Linked DNA regions of Diceros bicornis minor. The protein of the gene in region 2 purifies or fractionates together with the protein of the main gene of each other region. This does not show direct contact. Links are inferred from orthologs where the notes say so. Each region holds a gene or a part of one and is shown on either strand. Other genes may lie near its edges. The genes, in order: PTPN11, SOS1, CRKL and FRS2.

Region 1 (6,919 bases), on a different chromosome or scaffold from region 2:
AGTGACTTTGTTTTAAAAGGAGCTCATAATCTAAGGGAAGAGGCAGAACAGTCAATCAACAATGATGTTGAACCGTGTTGCCGACCAATAGAGGCATGAACAGGCAGCCCGCAAAGCATAGAGAGGAGGGCTCTATTTTATTCTCAGGAAGTGGTCAAGGGGTGTGTGCAGAGAATGTTTACTGCACAAGTTGATTGAGTTGGAGCTATATCTTGCTTGACACTTACTTTTCCATTTGGAGATGGGTTTAAAGTGCATTCCAGACAGAAGGAACTAAATTTTGGAATACAGGGATGCAAGAAACAGCTAGAGGCCTTTGGAAACTGCCAGATTATGTGAGGAAGTGGGGATAAATGAAGCTGAACAGGTAGACATGGTTCGTATTTAGAAGGGCCAGATGTGCTAATGGAAGGATTTTCATTTAGTGCTAAAGGCTTTGAACCTCCCTCATAGAACAGGAGAAGGACATGATTAGATTTGTATTCTAGAAAGATCATTCTAGCTGCAGAGTGTATAGACTATAGGAAAGACAGGGGAAGCAATGGTTTTGATACTGAACCTCTTAATCTCAAATTCATATGCCTGATGCACAGCAAGACAAACACTGACTGAGATATCGGGCTTGGAGATGGAGAAAGGCCCCATTTGAGTTGGCCAAGATGAGAAGGTGGGAGCACCGGTTTGCTCAAATCTGCCTTAATCAGAGCAAAAAGAGGGGAGTTTTTATAGAGCTAATGGGCTTGCCAGGAGGAGCTTTGGAGAAACAAACAGGTCACTCCAGATAAGCCCCAAGACAATCTGCAATGGCTGCTGGGGGCCGGCTGTCTGGAGATTGCAACCTCCCTGAAGGCATTCTCTTTCTTCTGCAAAACAAACTCACAAATCAGTCACTCCTCAAGTTAAACAAGAAAAGAGCAAATTGACAAAAATCATCTATGTCTGTGTTGGGAACAAGGTCAAAAGGCAATCATGTTCTTATTGAATAGCTACAGTAACCATCAGGTACGTGGCTTCAGTTTCTGTATTCAAAGAGCTTACAGCTTACTTTGGAAAAGAGACAAATGATAACCAGCATTTACCAAGTGCTTACTTTGCCAGGCATTGTTCTAAATACTTCACAATCATTAACCCTTTTATTCTTCACAACTTACCCTATGTTGTAGGTAGTATTTTCACCCCTCCATTTCACGGAGAAGGAAATTGAGACACAGAGGAGTCAAGTCACTTACCTGGGGACAACCAGGCAGGCAGGCTGAGTTTTGGAGATCAAGAACTTATCCCCCACATGATACTGTGTCTTAGATTTATAATGAAGTGTGTTCACTTCTAAGCCAGGATAGGTGTCTTGGGGACCATCTTAACCTAGACTGGGAGAATCAGGTAAGTCTTCCTATCCCAGAGGAGATGACTTCTAGTTTGAGATCTGCGTAGACTAGAGTTCATGGGGAGGGGGGGGTCACATAGTACTCTCTAGGGAGGGGGAGCAGATTGTTTAAAGACCCTGAGCTGGGAAAGGGCATGGCATATTGAGAACAACTGAAAGTCATTCAGCATGACTGGGTCATAGCGGTGGGGAGAGTGGGGTTGGTGAAGTGAGCAGGAACCAGATCAGGTGGTTGTTAAAAAGTTTTTTGACTTCATCCTAAAAGCAATGAGAAGCCATTGAAGTATATGCAATGTAGGGAGTGACTAGTTCCGCATTTTAGATTACCCTGGCTATTATGTGGAGAATGGATTGGAGAGGGCAAGCGTGCAGGCTAAAATCCTTTAGGATTTTCTTTGAGTCATCTAGGTGGCCGGGATTTAGGAGGAATGGAAGGAAACAGCCTGGGCAACTGTTCGTTGAATGCCTATTACCTAAATTAAATTGGCATATATTAAAGACAATTTTTGTAAGGATTTTTTTGTAACAAGGCTAAAGCAGTTAGCACACTGCATGTGAGTTCTTCATATAGAAGTGTCAATGCAAATAATCCATAATCAATCTATAAATCAAAATTGGGGTGAGTTTATTATGAGCCAGATTTGAGGACCACATAGCCCGGGGCCTTCCTTCCCCAAGGAAGGAAGGGCACCAAAGAAGTGGGGTGTACGGAGCAGTTATACACGGTCAAAGAGCATGTATCACATATGATTGCGATGTCCCTTTACAATAATCACAAGATTGTCCTGTTGGCACAGCGATTGATGGACACAGCAGGCATCAGGTCTGCTGTCTTGATGGGCACAGCAGGTACCAGGTCTGTTGTCTCAAGTTGGGTGGTCACAAGATGAGGACAGCAATCAAATCCTAGCCTAGGGAGAAAAGCTTATCCTTAAGGAAATACCAATGTGGGGGAAGTTACATCCTTATCTTAAGGGCATTTGTTCTTGTCTTCGGGACGTGGTAAATGCTTAAAGCAGATATACAATGCATGTTCAAAAGCCACATCAGGCCTTTTTGGAAAAACAAGGTCAGGCCAAATTAGTTTTACACCAAATGGCTTCCTCATATACTCCAATATGTCCTATTGCTTGCCATTTATTTATCAGAAGTGAGCTGGAGAGCACTGGGAGGAAAAAATGAGGGTTTTGGAGCCACATAGATGTAGGTTCCAATTCTGACTCTGCCACTTACTAGATCTGTGACCTTTAATGAGTCACATGGGCCTTCATCAAGTAAAAACTCTACCTTCTCATTCTGGGTGGAGCCACCATCATCTCCAGCCTGGAATATTACAGAATTCTAGTATTCCAAACTGGTCTGTTTCCAGCCTTGCCCTCTTGATCTGATTCCTTAGAGAATATCTAAAATAATAATTTTAAAACATAGATTATAGTCCTCCTCTGCTGAAAATCTTTCAATGGCTTTCCATTTTACTGTTCATTTAAATAGCCTATAGGACTCTATACTATCTCTACCCCTTTCTCACCTCATCTCCTGCTACTCTCCCTTCACCCCTCCCACTTTCTACTGTGCTTTAGCTAGAGATCCCTTCATTGTTCTTCAAATAGTACAGGAGGCAGCCTCCTGCCTCAGGGCCTTTGCACTTCTCTCTCCCTGTGCTTGAAATGCTATTCCCTCGAGTTATTCCCATAGATTGCTCCAGCGTCAGTTCTTTACTCAAACGTCATCCTCAGTGAAGCCTTCCCTAACTACCCTAATGAAAACGATAATATAAAGGGCTATGGAGAAAAGACAAGAAAGGAGGGTACGAGTATTATCTTGAGTATTTTACTTATCTTGATTACTGTAGCTCCTCCCTCGAGAACACAGGCACGGGATTTTTGTCTTTTCTGTTCATATCCCCATAATCTAAAACAGTGCTTAGCAGATAGCAAACAATCAACAGATGTTTAATTGTAATGAAAAGACAGCGAACAATTACAAAGCACTTACTAAACAGGCCAGGCCTAGTTCTAAGAATTTTACATATTTAATTCCCACAATCCTACGAAGAAAATACAATTACTATCTTTATTTTACAGAAATGAAGGAATGGATGAAACTGAGGCTCAGAGAAATTAGGCAACTTTCCCAAGGTTACACAGCCAGGAAGCAGAGCGGCGATGTGTGGAATGAAATGAATGAAATTCGGTTTGGCAGTCGGGGATGGAAACTGACACGGCGGAAGCGGAGGCATGGGTTCCCGGGAGCGCGTACAGCACTGAGCGCGCGGCGCACGCCCTGCGGCCAAGGTCTAAAGGAGGACGTCGAGGTGCTTTGGGAACTGCGCGGCGGCGGCCCCACCGAGCCACCGGACTGCCATCACCAGCCGCCGCTCAGTCCCCGGCGGACTGGAAGCAGGAAGTGGCGGCGGGCGTCGCACGGGGTGACGTCAGAGTGGCGCCGGCGGCGAGGGGCGGGGGAGGAGGAGGAGCGAACGGGACTCGGGGGGCGGCTGCACAGTCTCCGGGATCCCCAGGCCTGGAGGGGGGTCTGCGCGCGGCCGGCTGGCTCTGCCCCCCGTCCGGTCCCGAGCGGGCCTCCCTCGGGCCAGCCCGATGTGACCGGGCCCAGCGGAGCCTGAGCAAGGAGCGGGTCCGTCGCGGAGCCGGAGGGCGGGAGGAACATGACATCGCGGAGGTGAGGAGCCCCGAGGGGCCCGGCGCGGCCTCGGCCCGGCCCCCGCCGCCTGCGGTCAGCCCCGCCCGGGAGGGGGCGCCCCGGCCGGGCTTCGGCCCGCGCCTGGGGTCAGCGGGCGGGCCCCTCCCGACGTCCGCGCCCTCCCGGGGCCGGGGGCCTGCGCCCGCCGCGCCCCCACCCCTCGGGTTCCCATTCATTTCCTGCCTCCCCGAGTTCCGGCTCCCGCAGCCCGGGGGATGCCCGGCAGGACGGGGCCAGGTAGAGCCGCCGCGGGAACGGCGGGCGCCAGCGGCCCGGCTCGGCGCCGCATTCCTGACCCATTGCCTCATGAGAATTGCCTCATGGTGATTCCGAAATAACCCCACTCGCTTGGGGAGGCTCCTCGGCCCGGGACGCGGGAGGGAAGAGGAGGGAGTGGCGCGGGGCCCGGCCCCGGCGGTCGGGCTGCTCGGCGTCGCTCTGCTGGTCGCGCGCTTTTGGGGGCTTCGCTCAGCATCCCTGGCCCCTTTATGTGCCTCTTTGCATCTCCTTCCCCCCACCCCTCACGTGCCAGAAATGGAAAAACTGACTGTATCTGCAGCTATTAGAAGTATTTCCTTCCTCTGCACTGTTCGCTTTGAGAGATGGGAGGGAAGGGAGCTGTATCTCTGGTTATTGAATCCTTCACCACAACCTTAAAAGTCAGGTAACATTAATCACCCCCGATTTACGGATGTGGAAACTGAGGCTCAGCAATAACATGCTAGTAAATGACAGGACTTGACTCTGAGTCATAAGGAGGATTAGCGAATTAATGAGATCTTTTGCAAGTGCAGGGTAATAATACCACTAATAGCCAACACTGATTTAGCTCTCACAGTAAGCCAAACACATTTAATCCTCACAATAACCGTTTGAGGTAGGTACTAACGTCTCCGTTCTAAAGATGCATAAACTGAGTTTCAGAAGTTAGGCAACTTGCCTAAGATCACTCAGCCAATAAGTGGTGGGGCCAGAATCCCCGCTGTTAATCACCATATTGCTATTATTCTTTTATAACTATTGCTAATCATTTGTAGGCCTTAATTTTGTTGTTCAACGGTAGCGTGACGTATTGTTTTCCGATAATGATCCTGCTGTTTTGTGTCCTACTCTTTATATAAGATTCACACATAAGACCCATTGTTTAATCTTTTCCTTAATTGTCCTGTGACGGTCACTATATTAGACATTTGAAAAACTATTTCAAGCTATTGGGGTTATTTGAATGAGAGACTTTTCAAAATGTTAGGTATGTCTTCTCAGGATATACCTGCACGTTATTCATTCGTGAAACTGGAATGAAAAGAGGGAGAAAAAAGAAAACTGAAAACTCTTAGGACGTGAGTGACTTGGACAGGTCTGTTGGCAAGTGCTTACAGATCTGGGTAATATATAACTGCATTTCAGCAGAACAGTGTATAGCCTCAAATGTTCTAATTCTTTAGGGAGTTTTTAAATAAAACAGTTGTCTATTCTTTAATCTGTCAAATAGTCATTGAGCCTTTTGTTCCTTGTGTCTGCTCTTCCAGACAAGTAAGGATCTGCTTCTTTAGGAGACAGAAAGGCTGGGGGCTGGGTAGGGAAGGGACTGGGTGGTAAGAGACCCTGCATTGTCCAGCTTGTTAGTGTATAGGCCGGGAAGTGTGGGTATAGCCAAGGCAGCAAGTGGTAAAGATGACAGTTTGAAATAGAGTAATTCTTCCTCCTCTCCAGCCCTGGTGTTTCTTACTCACCTATTACAGAAGAGAAATGTGTGCTACCTGAAAAGTCAGATTATGCACATAACACACATAATTGGGAATTATTTATTATTATTTTTCAGATCGTAGGTCTGTGTTATTATTTTTTTAACCAGCTTTATTGAGGTATAAATGACATGCCATAAGTTGCATATGTTTAGGTGTGTAATTTGATAAGTTTTGACATATGTATACACTCATGAAACTGTCACCACAATCAAGATAATGAACATATCCATCACGGCTTGTGATGTGTCCTTGGGCCTTTATAATCCCTGCCTTGTTGTCAGGCAGCCACTGTTCTGCTTTCTGTCACTGTATGTTAGTTTGCATTTCTTAGAATTTTATATAAATGGAATTTTGTGTCTGGCTTCTTATGCTCAGCGTAATTATGTTGAGATTCATTCATGTTGTAGTGTGTGTCAAATAGTTCATTACTTTTTATCGCTTAGTAATATTCCATTGTATGGATGTACCGCAGTTTATCCATCCACCTGTTCATGGACATTTGGATTGTTTCTAGAGTTTGGCTATTACAAATAAAGCTGCTCTGAACATTTGTGTACAAATATTTGTATGGACAAACACTTTCTTTTCTTTTCGGTAAACACCTATCAGTGGTATGGCTGGATCATATATTAGATGTATATTTAACTTTTTCAGAAATTGCCAAACTGTTTTCCAAAGTGGTTATACCATTTGCATTCCCACCAGCAGCATATGAGAGTTACAGTTTCTCTACATCTTTGTCAACACTTGGTATGGTCAGTTTTTAAATTTTAGCTATTTTACTGCATATGTCATGGTATCTCATTATAGTTTTAATTTGTATTTTCTCTGGTGACTAATAATGTTGATCATTTTTTCATGTGTTTATTTGCCATCTGTATATCTTCTTTGGTGACATGTCTATTTGATCAAATATTTTCCTCCTTTTTAATGTAGTTGTTTGTTTTCTTGTTATTGAGATTTGAGAGTTCTTTCTTGTGGATACAAGACCTTTATCAGAATTGCAAATATTTTCTCTTAGTCTGTGGCTTGTGTTTTCACTTTTTTAACCATCTCTTTTGAAGAAAAGAGGCTTTTCATTTTG
Region 2 (7,309 bases):
ATGTACACCTGAAATTTATATAATGTTATAAACCAGTGTTACCTCAAAAATTAAATTAAAAAATATTTTAAAAAAGAGGGAGAGGGAGGGAGGGAACCAAAGTATTAACTAAAGGTGCTAAAGGGTGCGTATCCAGTGGTTTTATCAGCCACTATTTTCTCTGGTGTATTTTCTGGGGACATCCTGTTTCGAGAAGTGGAATTGCAAGTAGGGATTGGGAAGAAAGGGTGAGGAGAAGCATGAAGGGAAGATAAGCTGCTGGAAGAGAGAGGACCTTGACTTTGCTAATGGCTGAAACTGCTGTTTCTTATGCCTGTTTAAGGGGAGGCATCCTGAATGGGGCCTGAGAAAGTCTTCAGAGAGAAGGTGACATTTGAGCTGGGGGCGACAGCGTGGATGCGAGTTCCACGGTGAGCGTGTACATGGGCGGTGAGGTGCAGCTGTGGCGGGTGGGATTGGACAAAAACGGTTATTGGCATTCCCGGCAGACGGAACAGCATATGTAGGCAACAAAGACGAATAGAAATGATGGGTTTATGGGAGGCAATAGTAGTTCATTTCCAGTGAGAGAGATATCTGGGAAGATAAGTAGTGGCCCTATTGTGTAAGGCCATGAATACCAAGCAAAGGACTTTGGACTTCATCTTGGGATGGCAGTGGAGGCTCTTGAACAGGAGAGTAACCGGATCTGAAGTTTGCTTCAGGGAGATGATTGTGGCGGCAGCGAAGGAGGCAACCCTGTGACTGCTGGGGGCGGCGGCGTGGGGAAAAGAGCGGAGTGCTGCGCTCCCACCTGCAGGGGGCGCGCCAACGGACCGAACGCCCTCCCCGCCCCCTTCCCTGCTGCCCGGGTTCTGACGCTACGCGCTCGGAACTCGGCTAGCCCGCCTGGACGTGCTCATCTCGGGCCTCGGCTAGTCCGCCTGGACGCGCCCCCCGTGCGTCACGTCCGCTCTGGCTCCAGGCTCCTTAGAGCTGAGTAGGGGCGCGAACAGAACCTCTGCGCCTGCGCCGCGGGGCAATAGTCGGCGGTTAACGCTGAGGGGCCCAGGGAGCTTTCCTGGCTTCCGTAGAACGTATCTGAGTCCGCCACAGTTGTCTTCTCTCGCTGCACGCTTGTAGGTGTTTTCATTTGTCCCAAGAGATATAGGCAAACGATGCAGAGGAGCTCGACTGCTCCCTGACCTTAGCGGCGCCGAGGTCAGCACCACTCCCCTTTGGTTGCTCAGCTCAGAAGCGCCGAGTCTCTTCTCTGCAATTTCCCTCCAGCTGCTTGCTCTCAGTCTGCGGCCAAAAAGTCCATACTAGTGAGAACCTGCCCCGGCTGCTAAGCGCGCCCAGCCCAGCGTGTAATCCATGTTTCTAGGGCTTGTTTACCTCTGCAGTCACATCAGAGACTCGAAGTTGAAGGGGACCTTGGAGGTCATCACGTCCAACCTCTTAACCCTTCCCGACATCCCGAGTGAGTGAATGTACGGTTTTTACTTGCACACCTCCGAAGATCGCCCGTTTCCCGAGACAACTCCGATTAGGTAGTCTTCCTGGAAGTTTCCTCCATCCAACTTTTATGTGTCCACTTTAGTTCATCATCATATCCCTAGGACCTACACTACTTGGCACACAGTAGGCGCTTGATAAATATTTTTGAAGGAATAAGATTGTTGATCTCTTGGAGTTTTCCATTCTACTGGGGGGCAACCAACAACTAAAAATAGTTAGAGGCCGTGATTTATGCGAGCAAGGAAATAAGCGGAGGCTTATGGTAGAAATACATAGGTGGGAACTACTTGGTGTGATCAGTGTGGCCTGTTGGAGGTGGTGACGTTTGTAACCAGCCAAGTGAACAGTTAGGAGCAGAGAGAGTTCCGGGCTGGGGGAAGATCAAAGCCCTCGAGGCAGGAAAGATGTTGGTGTTTTCTAGGAATAGACAGAAGGCCAGTGTGACTGCAGTGTGGTGAGCCAGGATTGAGAATGGTGAGAAAAGGTTGAGAATGTAAACAGGAGCCAGATGCAGGCTTGTGGGCCATGGTGAGTAGTTTGAAAGGTATTCTAAGAAGAATGGGAAGCCCAAGAAGGATTTGGGGCGGAAGCTTGATCTTAGTTCATTGGTTTAGAACCACACAAACCATATCATATATGGTTTTTCTATGTTACAGTCTTTTAGATATTTAGAGATGTCTGACATGTTTTCGTGAGACCCATTTTTCTGTCCCCAACTCCTCTCAAAGCTGTAGTTCCTCTACCTCTTCTTACCCAGAGGTAAGAAAAAAAATGGATAATTTTCAAAATGTCATTCTGAACACTTTGAAAGCATGGAGAATTTTTAAATGTAAATCATGTGTGTACATTTTTAAAGAAAAGGACCTAAGACTTATGAGATTCTCCAAGAGGTCTTGTAGAGATTACCACTGCTTAAACATTTCTCCTCTATGTGATCCTGTTTTTTTTGTTTTTTTTTTTGAGGAAGATCAGCCCTGAGCTAACATCTGTGCTAATCCTCCTCTTTTTGCTGAGGAAGACCTGCTCTGAGCTAACATCTATTGCCAATCCTGCTCCTTCCCTCCCTCCCCAAAGCCCCAGTAGATAGTTGTATGTCATAGTTGCACATCCTTCTAGTTGCTGTGTGTGGGACACGGCCTCAGCATGGCGGGAGAAGTGGTGCCTGGGTGCACGCGGGGGATCCGACTCTGGCGCTGCCGGTGGCGCACTTAACCGCTAAGCCAGGGGGCCCGCCGGGTATGTGATCCTGGTTATCATTCTCTGGAATAGCAGGGTACTATGTCAACTTCAATCCAGGCTCATCCTCTAAACTGTCTTCTCATCTGTGAAATGAAAACAATAGGATTGCTATGAGGATTAAATGAGATTATGTTCAAAAAGTGCTTAATGGTAAACCATGAGGAGCCGGCCACACATGACCACTCTTATAAACACCTGCATCCCTGGGATGGAGGAAGAGTTTAGATAATGCTCCTTTGGCATTCCACAAACATTCACTAAGTGCCTATTCTGTGTAGAACCCCTAGTGAAAAATATCTGCCTTCCAGCAGTTTATCTAGTTGAAAGAGCCAGGAGAGGTACAAAACATAATAAACCAAATGCTCTGAGAGGGGCATGAGTAAAGTGATCTGGGAACTGCAAGAGATCTCAATTTCCACTGGAAGTAGGTGGTTATTGGAGTTCATATTTGAAGTGGGTTTGAAAGATGAACATATTGAATCTAAAAAACACACAAAATCAATACTACACGTACACATTTTATTCTTGGTGATGTGGAAAGACAGATTGGAAACATTGCAATCACTTCCATTATCCGACAAATACTGAGCAGTAGGTTTCGTGAGAAAGGCACCTATCTTTTGTCCAGTCTGTTTACTATACATTGCATGCTCTGGGCAGTCCTTATCTTCATGTTCAGGAACAAAGTACACAAATACACACCCCTTTCCGAAACGAAAGGTCTAGGCACTCCAAGAGAGGGGTGGGATCTCTCGCGGCCCAACCACACAATGGGGGCCGCTTCCCCGTAGCTCTCACCCCGCCCCCCCCACGCCCCCCCATCTCGCAGGCCCCACTCAGGCAGGGTTCGACTTATCCGGGCCCTTTCGCTCCTCCCCTGCAGCCCCGGGGGGCGCAGCCACGGCCCGGCGGGGCGTCCTCCCTCACTCGCGCTTCCCTCCTCCTTCGCCGGGGAGCCGGAAAACCCGGAGCGAACCGGCCCTGCCCGGCGGCGCATGCTCAGTAGCGAGCAGGTTCAGTTCGCTAGTAGGAAGCTCGAGCGCTACACCGGCGTCGGCGGCGGCACCTTGGGGCAGGCAGATTCCCCAGCACCGACCTCGGGCCCGTCCTCTCCCCCGCCAGACCCCGGCCCCAGCTCCGCCCCGCCGCGCCCGGGGTCGCTCGCTCATCGGGGTTCCCGCGGCGCGGAGCGTGCGCCGCGGCCGGAGCGTCTCTCCACAAGCTCTTCCCCAGCCGCGGGCTCCGCCGCGGGGCCAGGCCGGGCCCGAGCGCGCAACCCCGGCAGCCGGGCGGGCGGCGGCCGCGGCGGAGGGCAGCCCGGGGCGGCGCCGGAGGGCCGGGGAGGGTTGGGGGGGCCCGGCCCCGGGGCGGTGGTGCGGGATGCCGCCGCCGCCGCCTCCGGGCTGCGTTCGCTCTCCGCGGCTGGTGCCCGTGTCGGGTGGCTGGCCGGGCGCGGGCCTCGCCCCGCAGCCCCCTCTCCAGGGCTAGCCCGGCCGCGCGGCGCCCCGAGGGGGCCGGGCCGTCCAGTGGGGCCGCGGCCCTGTTCCGCGCTGCGAGCTCGCCCTCTCGCGGCTCCCCGGCCCGGCCGCCGCCGCCCCTCTCCCCGCCCAGAGGCGCCCCGGGGGCACCATGCAGGCGCAGCAGCTGCCGTACGAGTTTTTCAGCGAGGAGAACGCGCCCAAGTGGCGGGGGCTGCTGGTGCCGGCGCTGAAAAAGGTGAGGAGCGCGCGGGAGCCCGCTTCCCCGCTGCAGCCCCTGCGAGGGCGCCGGGCCGGGCCGGGGCAGGGCTGGGGAGGCGGGGCGCGCGCGGGGCCGTCTTTCTTCTCGGTCTCGCCGCCTCCGCGAAAGGACGGCGCCCACTGAGCGGTTCCCCCGCACGCGCTGCCTCCCGGGGTTGACGTTCACCCGGTGTGGGGGAAGGCCGCAGGAGGCCGGGGAGAGTTTGTCCGGATAATCAACCCCTGAGAGTCCTGCTCCTGCTTCAGAGACGAGAGTTGGAGGAGCCTCAGTTTTCAGTGGAGGTCAAAGCAGGCCACTTTTCCGCCTTCTCGGTCTTACCCGGAGCTGCTGTCAGCCTCCGTTTTAGGTGTCCAGTCTGCTCGTTTTAGTGGGCTCGAGAATGCTCTGGCCATAATGCTTGCTCTAAGTAATTGCAGAGCTCGCCTGCCAGCAGGAACATGGCCTGCTCTGCTCGCCCTCGGTAATCACTCTTCATTCCTCTGAATTCCCTCGCTCCTCCGATTAACCGGGGTGGGTGCACATGCCGCTATTTTCTTTCTTTTCTTTTTGTGAGAGTCTGAGAATCTTGGTGCTGTCATTCGTTTTGTTGATTAGAATTTTCAACCTGGCTGTGTTCCTTCAAGTTTGCCACATTGTTACCTCAAGTTAAATACCTTGTGATCTGTATTTTTAAATGTTTTAGTATAATTAGGAAATGTTGCTACATTTTAAAAGCTTCTAAAGCAACATTGTGAGTTAATTCAGAAACTTGTGTGTTTGAATGAACATAAAAACAACCAGAGTATTTTTTGTTTCCCTTTTACCTTTTCTATAAATATAGGATTGCTTTACTCTTTTAATAGTGTTTCTACATCCCAATTTTTTGTTCCTCAAACAATGTTTCATGTTATCTGGTTAAAATATATTCTGCTGAGAGTTGAGATTATGGTGTACCTTTTGTTCTAAACATTTATACTTTTGAAAACTGTGTCTTAAATGGTGTCTGATATTTCTCAAAGGCCAGCAACTTTTACTTTCCATTTTGTCCTGTCCTCCCTGTCTCCCTCTTGGTATTTTACAGAGGAAAATATTTGGTTTGTTAGCAGAAACTGGTCATATATTTCAGATATAAGTTACTGACTTTTTTCCTCAGGTGTCTGACTAGTCACAAACGTCTCTGTGATATTGTTTTCTAGGAAAATCAAAGAGATGCCATATACTGTATATACTTTATTCATTAGTAATCCCGTCAGGCTTTCACGCTATTTAGTTTTGCTTTACCTGCAAACTTGACATCTTAGCTTGTAATAGAAGGGTAGTAGGAGGTCTCAGTGATGCTGGAAGCAGGTATCCTGACCTAGGTGGGGCCGCGGTGGGGAGGAGACAGAAAAATTGTTGAAAACATACAAAAGAACTCATAAAACACTACCAGTTTGGGGCTATTTTGTTTAGAAGCAAGCATATCCTATCCCAGAGTAAACACCAACGTACCCATCAGTTGAGGGTCCTATGAAGTAGTGGAAAGAGCGTTGTAGGAGTTGGCAGACCAGATGTAACTCTGCCACACGTAGACTGATAAATGCAGCAAGACTCAAGATGGCCCTTGCTGAAATCTATCCACAGAAGCATTTTGTTTGGCTGGCATGGTGTTGTTTTATTTTTAATGTAATTAGTTGCCGATATTTAAAAATGGGAGATATTACATAAAATCTGAATTTTCAGCTTTTCTTGAAGAATAGGAGGATCTCTCCACATTGGGCCTGCATTCAAGCAAGGCAGTAAACTGCTGGAGCTGAGGAAATGACTGTCCTCTTTAGACATGGCACATCTCTTCAATTTACACAGTCCCCACCAGTCCTCTGCTTATTTACATAACCCAGCTTTGACTTTAAGCAGAGATACCCTTGTATAACAGTAAAAGTGATGAGAGGAGGTGGAATCTAGCTGATATGTAAGGTTCTCCAAATTCTTATTTAAAATATCCACTAATGATAATTCTAAGCCACCTAAGACAAGGTTGAAAATATATTTCATATCTGGATGTGCTCTTGGTAGCTCAAAACCTGCATTTTTACCTGCCTGCTAGACATTTCATGTGGATATCTACTATCTTGAACTCTTCTTTTGGGCTTGCTGCAGTATTTGCAGATGTGCCCAACTTGTGTTATCTTACCTGAGGCTCTTTGGACATGCTCTTCTCTTCACCTGGATTGCCCTTAGCCTGGTCTAACACTTCTCACCCTTCTAGACTCGCTCGTCCTCAGATCTTTCCTCAAATCCTTGGGGCCGAGTTGGATAATCTTTTTAAATTTTCTTTTAGCACCCTAACCTAGTACTTAACAATGATTTTTAAGTTCCTATTTACTTGTCCTCCCCCCTCCCCAACTAGATTGAATGGTCCTTGAGAACAGGGATGATATTTTACCCTCCGTTGATACAGTGCCTGACACCTAGTAGGCACTTAAGTTTGAACGAATGGGTGAGGGAATACCCAACTAAAACCATCACCTCCCTGCCCTCCATCTTCTGTTTAAAAATTTCCCCTCTTGATTAATGGCTTTATTTTATTTGACTGGTTCAAAACTTTGGAGTCGTCTTGGACTTCTCTCTTTTGCATTACGGCCCACATCCAGGCACAGCCTGTAGATTTATTCCACTTTGACATGTTCTTCTAATCTATTCCCTCCTACTCCAACTGCTCTGAGTCCCCTTTCCCAGACTGCTGTGATAACCTCTTAACTGAGTTCACTGCCCCTCACCTCTCCTTTATCAATTTTTCAAATTTCAGAAGTTATAGTACACTTCTGAACACGTCACACTCTTGTTCAGAACCGTTGATGTCTTTTGAGGG
Region 3 (7,432 bases), on a different chromosome or scaffold from region 2:
CCTGTTTGGGGTGTGAAGAAGCATTATATTGATTTTTGCATTTGGCCAAGGCTTTACTAGCCTCTAGTTTTCTACAAAGGCTAAAAACATTTCAAACCAAATCCATGAATCTCAGGCTTTCCTGAAATTCAAATCCATGAACTCCAAATCCATTAATTCAGATGCAACCCAAAGACGCAGTATAACAAAGCAAATCAAGTCAGGATCTAATTCAACCAGCATTGTGATCACCCTCCAAGATATCAGGGAAAATTAAAAAGTAAATTACAGCCACAGGCCTCAGGCGTAAGGCACAGAGAAGGAGAAACAATTACAGCTGAATGTGAGGGGGAGGGTCAGAGAAAGGTCCTATTATTTGTGAGGGGCCTGGAACAACAGGTAGGATTTCACTGGTCAGGAGTGGAGTGGAGTTAACGCTGTCAATGAAGAGCCAACAGCCTGAGCAAAGGTACAAAGCTGTGAGGAGGTGTGTAGGGATGGCTACCAGGGACTGAGTGAGTGGCCTTCGTGAGGCTGCAGTAAAGGAAGGATGAGAGGGAGCGAGGACACGCATCAAAGACAGAAAGTTCCGCCTGCTACCTGGGAAGACCAGTGTATGGAAAATTTGGATTCGTTCTTGTGGGTACTGGGAAGCCAGTGCAGCATCTCCCTTTTTCTCCTTCTAGAAGGGGATCAAGCCATTTACTCATACTTGTTGAGACAGCTGTATTACAGTACCTGTCACCTCAAAGAAAGCACAATACCCTGCACATAACATGGCTTAATAAATGCCTGAAATTAATGACATCATTCACCACCGCAAGTTAGTAAAGTAATTTACTTAAACACATTAAAAATCTCATTACAGTGGGTTCTAAGATTCTCCCCAACCCCTTATATTGGAATTATATTGTGCTCAAAGTTGACTCCAATTACCAGCATCTTTGGGGACCTGGAGGTTTCACCAATCAGATTCCTGGGGTCTACATCTTTGTTATACAGTATTTGATTTATAATCACTTTCTCCCATTTTTTAAAGTCCATTTAGTTCAGTAGTTAATCTAGTACAGTCATTATAATACCATGGTTTTGTTTCCTCTCTATATCTATTCCACAGAAGCAACACTTAGGCATCCAGTGGACGCTCCATAATTAATTATGATAGCTTTCAATGTTTAAAGTTCAGAGATATCTTGTCAGCAAAATCTATAAAGTCAGAAACATCTCATTCTGAAACATCTTTATTAGCATCCTCTCCATTTAAATAGATGCTTAAGAAACAAATTAGGCAAAGAAATACTTTTTATTTTTAAAATTCTAGGCAATTTCTTCAGCTCAAATTTGGCACAATTTAAATAAAAGAAACCTCTGACAGAATACTGATTAAGACAAATTAAAGCAAATAATCAAATAAAAAATGCATTTTACTTACAAAAGAGAATAGAATTAAGATAACTGTCATTCAAAAATTTCCCTTAGTAAGTAACATCTTAGCCTTATTCCTCCTTGGAATTTAACCAAATTAATTTCTAGCCTATTAATGGTCCATCTTGGCAGGAAACTATAAAATAAAAATTCAAAAAAATGTTCCCGCTGAAGCCAATGCACCTTCTTTTAAAATTTTGTAATTAATACATTATAAAACAGGTGTCTGGCTTATTTCAAACTTGGCATCAAGATATCAATATATAGTTGAAATTTCAGTTAAAGGTTTCTGTTTTTAAACGCTAAAGCATTTTCATTTGTCGACTATTTCAAAGGCTGCAGTCCAAGGGTTCTTGATCTGCAGTAACCTGGAGTGCACACATCTGCAGGGAGTCCAAGAACCTTGAATGCTGTGCACACTTGTGCGTACGTGCATTTTTGGAGGAGAGGGATGCCACGGCTATCTTCAGATTCTCAAAGTCTATAGCCCAAAAACACCACCACCACCACCCTGCTTTATTATGATAACCAAATAAAGAACGCGACGAAAAACAAAAAGCGTACATTTTAACTATGCAATCGCCGTTAAGCACGTTTAAAACGCATCCCCTCACCCAGTGACCCAGATCCTGACAGTAGCCTTCCGTTCGGAATGCCTTCTGGAAAATAATTTGGTTCAGAATGGGGACAAATAGGTTCAGTCACACCCCCCGCCCCCTCTTCGATCGACCCCAAGCGAACCAACCCGGCCCTTCTCGACCCTCCTCCGCGGTCGGGGTGGGCTGCGCGCCTACCTGGGCGCGGGCTCGATGAGGGTGGTGGTGTCCAGGTAATGGATCTTGTAGAACTCCAGCAGGGCGGGCAAGTGGTCAAACTCCTGGTCCCCGATCTTAAAACGGCGGTTGGGCAGCGAGTTGATGATGTAGTGGGAGACCCGCGAGTTCTCGGACACGGACAGCACATAGTCCCCGGGGCAGGTGGAGGAGTCGCGGACCAGGAACACGCCGTGGCGCTGACCTTGGAGCCGGGTCTGTGCCTCTTGGCGCGACACCGGCCCCATGTACCAGGCGGAGCGGTCTGAGGAGTCGAACCTGGCGGAGGACATGGTGTCGGAACGGGGCCCTGCGGCGGGTCGGGGCGCGGCTGCTCTCGCCTGCTCTGGTCGCCTCTGCCCGACAGACGGCTTTGGGGCCGAAGAAGGGCCTCGACACACCTCGAGGCGCGCTTACAAGGCCGAGCCAGCACCTTCCTCTCGGCTCCGGGCCCGCAGCATCCCCCGCCGCCGCCGCCCGCCTGCTCCGGGGTCGCCTCAAGGAGGGAGCCGGCTCGGGGAATGCGGGGCAGAGCCCGGGGTCGGGGCGGGCGAAGCCGAGCCGCAGCGGAGGCCGCCCCGGGGTCTCGGGCTGCCCAGCGTACCAGGGGTGCGCTCCAGTCACTTCTGGCCTGGAACGCGCCGGCCTCGCGCCCCTACGGCTCTGCACCGACCTCCGCCGCCACTCCAAGCACTAAACTCCAGGGAGCGTCGCGCCTCCGGGGCGGTTTTGCCCAGCCCGTTCCCAACAGCCACAGCAACAAAATGGCGGACGCGGGAGAAGCACCCGGCCACCTCCCCCTCTGCTCAGCACGCTCCGTCTGCGCACGCGCAGCCCCCGGCTCCCAGCTGCCGCCGGGGCCCTCCCCGTGACGTCAAGCAGCGCAGCCAATCAGGAGCGCGGTGGTGACCGTCCGGGCGTGCGCGGCTCTCGCCCGCTCCCGCGTTCCGGGAGGAGGCGGAGGCGGAGGTCGCGGAGGCGGGCACTCCCTTCCTGGACGGCGGTGTGCCGCCGGGGGCGCTGCAGCTGCCGGGTCTCTTTGAGCTGGCAGGAAAACAGCTGGACTCGAGAGGGAGCGGCTTTTCGAAAACCTGCTCTGGGAACAAAGCGTAACGTGCAGGCCTAATCTGCGGCCTGGGAGGCGTGGCACTGAGGTGACCTGGCCGGCCGAGGGGCCCAAGGGGACCCGCGCTAACGGAGACCGACGGGAGGACAGGCCCCGATGGGCCGAGGTGGCTCAGGAAGGAGACCGCGGGGGCTTAGGTGACCGGCAGATGGGCCCGAGGTGGCCTGGTAGGCTAAGGGACCCAGAGTGGCCAGGTGACCCGACAGGCACAAGTATAGGGTGTGAAGGTTGTATTGGCAGGATTAAGTGGTTTAGGAAGTCTACAGCCTGGGGTAATCTAGCCATCACTGGCGCTGAATTACTGCAAATAAAATGCAAACGCCTCTGGGGCGTGGCTTGAAGGCCTCGCCTGCTCCGGATTCTGCCTGCTGCTCCGAGTTAACCTCCCTCCATTCCCCCTTGTTTACCCCGCTCCAGCAGTGCCCTCTAGCCTGTCTACCAGCCCACCCCTGTCCTCCCCACTGGAATGTAAATTTTAAGAGAGCGGGAATCTTGTCTATCTTGTTCACCTCTGGGCCTAGCAAAATGTCTGGCCCTGACTTGATGCTCAAATATTTGTTGAATGAATGACTACTGAAGAAAACCTCAGGCAACTGGTGCTGGATTATTGGTAGCACCACCCCCGAAACTGGACAGACAAGAAAGTAACTGCACAGACAAGAAAGTATGTCCAAAAAGGGAGATGCAGGCAGTACAAACCCACGCTTAGATCCCTCTGTCAGTGGAATTGCATTCTGGCCGTTTGCACCCTCCCTCCTCCCCAGATTGAACATATCCTAGATTGTAGGGTGATAGGTGATGTCCATCTTTGGGTAAACTAAAGGGGAAATGTCAAGGTCTACTGCCTTTTGTGATTCAGCATTACAGGTTTTCATCTTCTCTCCAAATACTTTCATGTTGTATTAGTCTCAGGTTTGATTAGCACAGAATTTGAAAATGATGGCTTGGGTTCCACTCCTGGCTTAATCAGTTGACTAGCTGAGTGGCCTTGGGCCAGTTACTTAATCATCCATCCATGCCTCATATATTATTAAACAAGCTAATAAATGTAAAGTACTTAGAATAGTGCCTGGCACATATTAAGCATCATATAAGAGTTTTTTATTATTGTTATTTAGCCTCTTTCTTGGCTTCTACCTCCATTGCCTACAAACACGGAGATCTTAAAATGAGTGGATGAGGGTGGGGAGAATAATTCCCATTTGATTTGCTAGCTACTTTTCACTGCCAGATTTTACCACTTCATCATCACCCACTCCTTGCCCAGCCTTCTTCATTTGGTTTCTACCCTTACTTTGCCTGAAACTTGCCTTTGGAGATCATCACTGATCTCCATTGATCCCATCATTTTCCTTGATCTACCTGGCTCTACGCGTTTATGTTGAAAATCTCTTTCCAGAAAGACTACTTTTGTTTTTGTTTTTTCTTCTTTTAAGCTCCTGGGACACTAACGTAATTTCTTCTACCTCTCCAAATACACTTTCTCAGTCTCTTTCTGTGGCTCTTTTGTCCAGCCTCAAAGTGTAGAAACTCAGTCCTCAACCTCTCTCTTTTGGTAGCTTCTCCTTTGGTAGGCCAATCTTCATGAAGGCTTTAGGGGTCATCCCTTTGTTGGTGACTTCAAAACACATATATTCTAAAAGTAGAACAAAAACTGACCACACCCTATGCAAACACCTAAATTAATTTTTATCACATGCTATTGTAATTCTTTATGTGTCTCTCCTTTCCTAATCTGAGCATCTTGGAGGCAGACTGTAGTATTATTTTTTGTATTCCCAGTGCCTATCACATAATATACACCTAGTAAATGGTTTTTGAATGTAGGTGGATAACGATGGGAAGAAACCAGAGAAAACTAAAAATTTATTTTAGTGAAGGTAAGGAGACTATGTGATTTTTTTCCCCTTTTATTAACATAATAAATGTATTCAAAGTAGATATTTGGACCTAAGGTTTAGCCCCATATCACTCTCTGTTTAAATCTCCCATTTGGAGGGGCCAGCCTCGTGGCTTAATGGTTAAGTGCGAGTGCTCCGCTGCTGGCAGCCTGGGTTCGGATCCTGGGCTAGCACTAACACACCGCTTGTCTGGCCATGCTGAGGCCGCGTCCCAGCAACTAGAAGGATGTGCACCTATGACATACAACTATCTACTGGGGCTTCGGGGAGAAAAAGGGGAAAAAAAAAAAGGAGGAGGATTGGCACTAGATGTTAGCACAGGGCCAGTCTTCCTCACAAAAAAAGAGGAGGATTGGCACGGATATTAGCTCAGGGCTGATCTTCCTCACAAAAAAAAAAAAATCTTCCATTTGGATTAAATTTTGCCTTTCAGCTCCCCCTTTTCTGTCAGTAGCATCACTGTTTTCCTAATTGGCAGACTCAAATCTCAGTCATCTTTTACTTAACTGAAGAACTCCGTGATATGTGATTTATAAGTGCTTTTCAATTCACAGAACTTCACATAATACATTGTTTTGCTTAATCTAACCAAAGTCCCATGAAATACCCTGTAACAGAGGATCCAGAAGCTCAGAGAGGTTAAGTGACTTGCTTATATAAGTTATTGTAAGTTATATAATTTGCAAGAGGCAGAGCTGGCACTCTTAAGCCAGGTCTTTTGACTTGAAGTCAAGGTCTCATTTCACTGTTACACAACTGCCTATAATTTAGTCAATTTTCTTTGTTTTGCTGATAGTGAAAATGAGGCCCTCCAAAGTAAATTCTAGCACCAGAAAGGAATATCAATCTTGGAACAGGGAGAAGCGGTTGGATTTGTCCCCTAGCTTGGGTTTCAGATACCACCACCATTCTGCTGCCAAAGGGCCATGCTCCCCTCTTTAAAAATTCCTCTTAAAAATGAATCAAGGGGCCGGCCCCATGGCATAGTGGTTAAGTGCTTGCGCTCCGCTGCTGGCGGCCTGGGTTCGTATCCCTGGCACGCACCACTTGTCAGGCCATGCTGTGGCAGCGTCCCGTATAAAGTGGAAGAAGATCAGCATGGATGTTAGCTCAGAGCCGGTCTTCCTCAGCAAAAAGAGGAGGATTGGCATGGATGTTAGCTCAGGGCTGATCTTCCTCACAAAAAAAAAAAAAAAGAATCAAAATACCTCTCCTTTTGCTTCAAAATAGTCCAGTAGGGAATAGGGTATGGATTAGATAAAGATGAAACAAGAATGGCCTTGTGTTGATAATTGTTGAAGCTGGGTGACATGATGTGTATGTGTGTGGGGTTAATTATATTATATTATTCTACTTTTGTATATGTTTGGAATTTTTCACAATAAAATTTTTTTTAATTTTTTTTAAACGAGTCTCTATTTCTTTTTTATTTTTATTTTATTTTTTTGCTGAGGAAAATTGGCCCTGAGCTAACATCTGTGCCCATCTTCCTCTGTTTTGTATATGGGATGCCACCACAGCATGGCTTGATGAGTGCTGCATAGGTCTGTGCCCGGGATCTGAACCTGTGAACCCTGGGCTGCCAAAGCGGAGTATGGGAACTTAACCACTATGCCACTGGGCTGGCCCCTCACAATAAAAAGTTATTTTAAGTACTTTCATTTATTCTTCCTTAGCACAGCTGAGACAAGCTTTAAAAAAAATTCCAAAAAATGTTCTTAGATGTTAAGAGAGAACAAAATGGAAATGAATGGAGAAGCAACAAGGAAGCATTTAAAAAAGGGCTGTAACATAAAGATTTGTGATTCTGTCTTAGCTTGCTCATTCCCAGGGTTTCCAGATGGCATTATACTTACTCATCTTCTAAGATATTTACAAGCTAGACTCAAAGGACTGACAGGCTTTTTGAGCAACTTGTCCGGATTCCTTACTTCCTAGCCCTGAGGCTAGCTCTGTACAGAAAACACAACCGGGACCCACTGCTGACTTTTTGTTCTCCCCTGTCTAAGCAGGTCCAACCCTTCAGGTGATGGTTAAAGCCAGGCAATCGTTGTAGATTGCTGCCTTACTGAGGACACCAGAACAAGCGTCTGACCCTTCTTCCTGCCCCTGATAATTTTCTTTTTTCCCTCCTATTACTTTGCTACTCTAATACTAATAATGTTCGTATCCCCATTATAATTTTCCAT
Region 4 (7,266 bases), on a different chromosome or scaffold from region 2:
CTTTCAAACATGTTCCACGATCCAGCCCCAACTTACCTTTCAAACCTCATCTCTTATTCCCCAAATGCACCTATAGTCTAGGTAATCTGGTCCACTAACTTTTCTCTGAGTACACAGTGAACTTTCCCACCTCCACACTGGTGCACACATCATTTCCTTTATTTGAAAAACCTTCATCCACCTACTCCCAACGCGCAAATTTTTGTCTTAGAAAAGTCTTACCCTCTGCAATGCTGAATGCAGGTTACCAGTTTATTGGGAGGTAGCATGATGTAGTGGAAATGCACAGACTTTGGTACCAGGCAGATCTGGATTCAAATTGGGGCTCAGTTACCGGCTAGCTACATAGTCCGGGCAAGCTACTTAACATATTTGAGCATCAGTGTCCTCATTATTAAGACGCTTATATGTTGTTGTGAAGCTTAGAAAATGTATGCAAAGCAACTAGCATAGAGCGTAGTGCTAGGTGCTCAATAAATAATAGCTTCAGAGCCACCTTCATATGGATTACTATACCTCCACCACTTTCCATGATCACTCCAGCTAAAAATAAACCCACTTTCCTTTCCTACAACTCCAAACTTTAGGTCAAACCTTCACATATTAAGTATTTACATATATTTATGTTGTAAATTTTTATGTAAACATCTTACATCCCCTTCTAGATTTCAAATTTCTAAAGACCAAAGACTTAATCTTTGTATCCCCTAATGCCTAACAGTGCTTTTCATGAAGCACACACCACCTTCCAATTAGAAAAAAATTTTAATATGCTTAAATACAATTCACCTCTTCATGATTTCTGACACAACTTAGAAAATTACTGCCAAAACATGCTATGGCTGTATCTTTATACGCTCCTACATGGTTGCCTAACGTAGCTTGATGCCGAAGAAAGCAAATGTCCAATATCTGTTGAATTGACATGAACATAATAAAATATACAATGCCCAAGCATATCCGATTTTCCCCAAGTACCTTTTCTGTTCTTACAATTCTTGAAATGTTTTCCTTCAAAACCACTGTTACACCATACTTTCAGTAATGGATCTATAACCATATCTAACTTGACTCCTTTTCCAGATTCTCTAAATTCCAATATTCCAACCTTATGCTCTAAACAATGAAGCACTTCAAACAGCTAAGAATCTAAATTTTCTTCCTAAATCTAAAAGTTGGGCAACTAATCTTCCTCCACAACTTTTTCCAGAGACTTTAAAAATCATCCACCCTTTGCCTGCTGAAGATCAACAACCCTGAAATAAATGTTCTTTTGCATAGGCAGCTCACTGAACTTGTCACTTCAGTCTATTTTCCCTAATTCACCGTATTACCTCCCCTTCCAGTGGTGGGAGGAGAGAGAATGAGATAAGTACTCAAAAAACTACAGTATGAATCCTAATATAAGCACCAGATGAGAAGTGCAGGAACATGTCACTGGTTTCACAACGGTGATTGTGTGTACTTTATACACGCGAAAACAATGGTCACCTGCCCAGAGTCACCACCTGCAGGGACTGCATTCCCTTAGGATCCTAAAAATCACTATTTGGACCGGCCCGGAGGGGTAGCAGTTAAGTGCTCGCGCTCCGCCATTGGCGGCCTGGGGTTCGGATCCCAAGCGCGCATGGACGCACCACTTGTCAAGCCATGCTGTGGCGGTGTCCCATATAAGAAAAAAAAAAGTGGAGGAAGATGGGCACGGATGTTAGCCCAGGACCAGTCTTCCTCAGCAAAAAAAGAGGAGGATTGGCATGGATGTTAGCTCAGGGCTGATCTTCCCCACAAAAAATCACTATTAAAAGCGGAAAACTCTCATTTCTACAAACCTTTCAGGAGCAGTTTATTACCTAAAATCTGTTCACTAAAAATAACTACACGCCACTTTTTCCACTAGGAAATGTTCAATTTACCCAAGGTAAACACTTCATAAGTTAAAACAACAACAACAACATAAAACAAAACACCTCTGCCCACCTATGTGAACCTCTGCATTGCAGCAACAGCTGTAACAGTACACGGGGCCTCTTAGGGGTTACCGAGAACAATGTTTCTTTAAAAGTTAAGGAAAATGACAGATCTAACTATGAAAGTATACAAACTTCAGGGCACAGAGAGTATAATTCTCCAACAATCTACAACCCATTCGTGCAACAACCGCAGATTGAACTCATCAAACCAGCATGACCTCAGAGAGCCACAGGAATTTGGAGATTAGCAGATTACAGAACAGCATCATTCTTTTAAATCTGCAAGAAAATAAGGGAACCTACCTGAACTACTGATTTTCCTCTAGCAAGTTGTTTTCTTAAGAAGCGACTTCAACAACAGCTTGAGCGAGCTTCCCAAGGAGTAAAGACAGCAGGAGGCACGCTGGTGCCACAGCGACCCACGTATCCAGAACCGGCCCCCAGCGCAGTCCAAACCGATCCCGGGCAACCCCGAAGCGAGTATGGACGAAGAGCCTGCCGAAGATCCCGGCCTCCTCCCCGCATCGCCCCGCCCCGGGCTGAGCGGCGACCCCGGGACCCCGGCTCAGCCCCGAGCCCCCGACAGCGCGCGGCGCGCGAAAGCCGGACCTGGGCCCGGGCAGAGTCCGCTGTTCCGGCGCCCAGCCCAGGGCAACCCAGACACCAGACCCCGGAGGCGGCGCGAGGACCCGGGCGCAGAAGAGGGGTCGGAGGGACGGAGGCCCAGCCACCCACCCCGAGTCCCACAGCCACAAGGCGCCCGGAGCCCCCTCCCCGGCCCGCCCCGCCCACCCGCGGCCCGCCGCCGGCTCCTCCCGCCCCGGGTCCGCGACGACCGCGGCGGCCCGCGCCCCTTCCTGCCCGAACCCGACAGCCGAGCCCGCAGCCCGGAGGGGCAGCGGGGCCCCAGGGCGCCCGCCCGACGCGGCCCCGGCCGGCGCAGTCGGCTCCCCGGCCACTCACCGTCGGCCCGGGCGCGGAGGGCGGGCGCGCGCGGGCCCCCGGGCTCCGACCCGGCAGGAACCCCGCTCGGAGCCGATCCAGCCTCCCCCGCTGTGCCCGCAAGGCCTCTCCGGCCCGAACCTTGGAAAAGCACTTCCGGGGGCGCGGGGCAGGGAGGGTTTGGCACCGGAACTGCTCGCGGGCTGGGGCTGACAGGGCCTCCCGGGGGCGGGGCCTCTCCGCGCGGCGCCCGCGGCCCAGCCCCCGACTGCTCGCCGACACCCCCGCGGCCCCGCCCCAGGCTGCCCGGAGGCCCCGCCCCCGACTGCTCGTTGACACTCCCGCGGCCCCGCCCCCGGCTACCCCGAGTCCCCGCCCCCGACTGCCCCGCGGCCCCGCCCCCGGCTGCTCGTCAAACCCCGCGGCCCCGCCCCAGGCTGCCCCGAGTCCCCCCGCCCCCGGCTGTCCCGCGGCCCCGCCCCCGGCTGCCCGTCAACCCCGAGGCCCCGCCCCCGGCCGCGGCGGCCCCGCCCCTGCCCCTGGGCCTGTCCCATCTACCCGGCCGCCTGATTTGACAGACGAGGAAACCCAGGCTCAGAGAATTGAGGTGCGGGGCCCTGCGCGTACCCCGGCCTCCTGACTCCAGTGTCCCTCCGCTCCAGTCCACCTGCTCTAAGAATCATGAGTTACATTTACTGAGCGCTTCCTACGGGTAGGCGCTGTATAAGGAACCGTCCCAAATCCTCTGACATTGGCCTGGTCTCTACATCTTGGGAGAAGGAAACCTGTCAAAGGTACCAAGCCCAATGCCACCACAAAGGTCGGCTCCCGATTTTATTTTAACTCGTGTCGTGTGTATAAATCTCATCTACCCCTAACAAGAGTCTTAAATTTTTGAAGGGCAGGAACCAAATTATACTCCTGTATGTATTCTATCATCACTTGGAATTTCAGCAGAGGCCAAGAGCTGGGGGCTCTGGAATTTTATTGTCTGGATCCTGTATTTACATTTACTTTTTCACCCTAGGCAAGTTGCTTGACCTCTAAGCCTCAGATTCCTCATTTGTAGTATATTTGATGAATGTGTGTGTGTGTACAGGTACATATATAATCATCTGTGTATCATTGTAGGAATTCAAAATGAAAATGCATGATGAGCCTCCAGTATACCTAGTACCAACGCAGCACTGGGTAAAAGTCACCAGTTCTCATACCTCATCAACAATAGGAAACTATTTCTCCTCCAGTGGAGTCACTCTAGCAGATGGTAAGGTGGGCCAGCAAGAGCAATAGAAAGGTTAGCTAAGGAAATAAGGAAAGAGTAGACATTTTTGCAATGGGAAAAAAGAATGTCGTAGGGCCAGCCTGGATACTTGTGACTCTGTGAGCTGAGACAGTATGAGGGCCCACAGAGTCTGACAGATCCCTGTCAGAGGCAGGGAAAGGAGGAGAAAAAAGAAAAAGGAATTTCTCAGCCACAAAACCAAGAAGGCACTGAACGACTGAGGCAGATTCTGTAACTGAGGCCAGCTACTGGGGGTGGGAGTTGCGGGGGTTGGGGGAGCCTCTTAGCACTCATACTATCTGCAAAACAAATTTACAAGCATCTCTTAAAACTGTAGGGGAGGAAGGTTTTTAAATTTTCTGCTAAGAAAGGCAGGGGAAATGGAAATAATTCAGAATGCTTTATTACGCTTTTAAGACGTAAACAATGCCTTTGCTATTGGCTTTATTTACAGCACTGTCTTGTTTATTTTTGTGATTACAGAAGTGTTTGTAAATACTTCCCTAATACCCCAATTTAAGCAGCCTTTCGTGCCTCAGAGTGTGAAGAGGTAAAAAACAGAGCCTGGGTCGGCAAGACTCACTAACTTCTCTTTCCACCACGGGCTCGGAGGGATAATGAGAGGAACCGTGAATGGCAGATGTTGTCAGGCTCCCTGCGGGACGCAGAAGTGCTAGAAGTTTGTCACTAAAACTGGTTATCTAACTGGTAGATGGTGCAGCCAGGATCTGAATGTGGGTCTGTCTCCTCGGATGCTTTTCACCGCTGTGCCCGTAGTTCTCAGACCTGAGAGTCAGCAGAATCACCTGGAGGTCTTGGTCAAACACAGATGGCTGGGCCCACCCCCAGAATTTCACTAAACCACTCTCGTGCTTCTCTGACATGTAGTCCCTGGACCAGCAGAGTTAACGTCATCTGTGAACTTGTCACAAATGCAAATTATTAGGCCCCACTGCACACCTGTGAATCAGAAACTCTGCTTTAACAGGCCTTCCGGGTGACTCAGTCATGCTCGTGTGAGAACCACTGCCTCTACTCTCGCCTCCCAGAGTCTTCTTTCTCTCGAATTATCCCCAACAGGAATCACTCTACTGAAGCAGAGTTCTTCCCATTGAACTAAATGACAGACTGAAGCATCTTTACTCATGTTTTGCTCTCAGTGGGAGATAAGGCTAGAAAAAACTTAGTATTAATGGAGGATTCTTTTTTGATTACTTTGTGTTGAAATTTAACAAGATAATTCTGGGTTGGGGGTGGAACTAATCTTATTTGGGAACCGCTCTGTGCCAGGACTTTCATGCATTTTCTACGTTAATCTTCATTACACTACTATGAGGTTTTATGGTCTTAATTTTACAGAAGAGAAAAACTGAGACTTAGGTGAAATAATTGATTTAAGGCCACATTCTTATTCAGGGGCAGAAATCAGGGTCAAACAAAGATCTTTCTAATTCCAAAACTCACAATCTCTCCACTTCGTGGCAGGAGCTGGAGAACCCAATTCCAGAGTGGGCCCTACCACCCCAACTGTGCAACACTGAGTCAGCGATTTAATCTCTGTTTCTGTTTCTCCGTCTATAAATAATGTTATTATAAATCTGCCCCTCCCACGCTGGAATGTTGGAACAAATGAGGAAATAAAAGTGTAAGTGCTTTGAGCTTTTTGAATTAAAATAGTAAAAAGGCAAGTTATTGTAGTATTTTATGTTCAGCCGAGTGTTGCTATGTGAGCCTGAGCATTGAATCTTTCCTGGTTATCTCCTGATTCATACAGAAGAGGTTCAAAGGCTATACTTGATGCCGGGAAAAAAAGTTGTTTGACTTCATTTGTCAGTGTCTTCTGTAGGTTAAAGAAGATGACAGAGGATTTTATGGGTTTCTTTTAAAAGTTACAGGGAATCTCTCACCGGGTTCATAGGCTCCAGGTTGTTGCCAAACTGCTGGCGCATCCTCATCCTAGAGATCTTTCCTCCAAACCCTTCCCTTCTCCCTATTACAGGCGCCCCTCCACCCTCCTGCCTCCACCCACTGGGCGAAGAGTTCAATTCCTCTGACTTTATTATGTAGAAGGATTTAGCTCTCAATCCTCCTCTCAGGCCTGACTCCAGGCCTATCTTTGTTAACAGAATCGCAGGTTGCACAGTTCCAGGGGGCAACGTTCACAAAGGATACAACCTGAATGGTGGTCCAGGAGGTGCCCATTGCACCGGCCACAACAGGAGAGGTCCGCCTGGAAGTGTGCAAGGCTGAGGCCCTGTCTATGCATAGCTCCCACCCCAAAAATCCCTTAAGGTGTTTTGTTAAACAAAAGAGCCATCTACTTGGGTGTCCACCATTTCCCAAGCTCTCCAATAATGGGGTTCTTTGTTTTTGTTTGTTTTAACGTGGCCCTGATCCAATACTTAAACCACCAGGCTTGGGTCCTGGGTCCCACACTCTGCCATGGCATTTTCCACTTTCTTCTGTGACATCATTGCCCACCTCCCCACTAGACTTGTGAGCTTCGTGAGGACTTTGTCATATTTCGTCTTCCTCACCTTTTACTCCTGCCTTGGCCCAGGTGCTTGAAAAGCATTTGCTGATTTGAAAACCAGCACAGTGTACTCCTCTTTCTGTGCTAGTGTAATTGGCAGAGATTTGACAAATGGCCCTCCAATGTGTTGTTTGACCCACAGAGGTTCGTACCAAGAAATAAACTGAGCCAAAATTTTAAAATTGGGAAATGTCATGTGAAAAAATCCCAATTTCTGGCACTTCTTGCAAAGTTAGACGCTGGCAGAGTGGGCGTGCCTCCCCCGGGCGTCAGCGTCTCGGCTGCGATGCAGCTTCTGCTTCAGGGGGAGCTGGCCTCACTCACGTGTGGACTCTCCATGGCAGCACCAAGCCTGGATCCCCTAGGGTAGGGGACCATGTGGGTGTTTTGGAGAAACAAGTATAGAATTTTGCCTTATAGATTTTACATGTGCTCATAACTATTTATTCCAATGTATTTCAAGCTAATTTTAAATCGTTTTTCTGGGGTAGAAAATTGTGAGATACCATGTATCATTTCTAAACAAGCCTCGCAAG

Evidence for each region.
Region 1: the proteins of SOS1 (region 2) and PTPN11 purify together in Homo sapiens (affinity purification with western blotting; 4 studies listed by BioGRID and IntAct, with this or other methods). This does not show direct contact. The link is inferred for Diceros bicornis minor from reciprocal best matches to the Homo sapiens genes SOS1 and PTPN11.
Region 3: the proteins of SOS1 (region 2) and CRKL purify together in Homo sapiens (affinity purification with mass spectrometry; 3 studies listed by BioGRID and IntAct, with this or other methods). This does not show direct contact. The link is inferred for Diceros bicornis minor from reciprocal best matches to the Homo sapiens genes SOS1 and CRKL.
Region 4: the proteins of SOS1 (region 2) and FRS2 purify together in Homo sapiens (affinity purification with western blotting; 5 studies listed by BioGRID). This does not show direct contact. The link is inferred for Diceros bicornis minor from reciprocal best matches to the Homo sapiens genes SOS1 and FRS2.

Annotation. Positions count from the first base shown.
Region 1 is NC_080774.1:10,559,249-10,566,167, forward strand, and holds the start of PTPN11 (tyrosine-protein phosphatase non-receptor type 11), read left to right. Parts: upstream 1-3,906; 5' UTR 3,907-4,052; coding exon 4,053-4,066; intron 4,067-6,919. UniProt on the Homo sapiens protein: Acts downstream of various receptor and cytoplasmic protein tyrosine kinases to participate in the signal transduction from the cell surface to the nucleus. Positively regulates MAPK signal transduction pathway. Dephosphorylates GAB1, ARHGAP35 and EGFR.
Region 2 is NC_080751.1:45,264,643-45,271,951, forward strand, and holds the start of SOS1 (son of sevenless homolog 1), read left to right. Parts: upstream 1-4,301; 5' UTR 4,302-4,368; coding exon 4,369-4,455; intron 4,456-7,309.
Region 3 is NC_080774.1:30,944,089-30,951,520, reverse strand, and holds the start of CRKL (crk-like protein), read right to left. Parts: upstream 3,020-7,432; 5' UTR 2,510-3,019; coding exon 2,199-2,509; intron 1-2,198. UniProt on the Homo sapiens protein: May mediate the transduction of intracellular signals.
Region 4 is NC_080756.1:1,868,320-1,875,585, forward strand, and holds the start of FRS2 (fibroblast growth factor receptor substrate 2), read right to left. Parts: upstream 3,014-7,266; 5' UTR 2,934-3,013; intron 2,667-2,933; exon of another isoform or gene 2,274-2,666; intron 1-2,273. UniProt on the Homo sapiens protein: Adapter protein that links activated FGR and NGF receptors to downstream signaling pathways.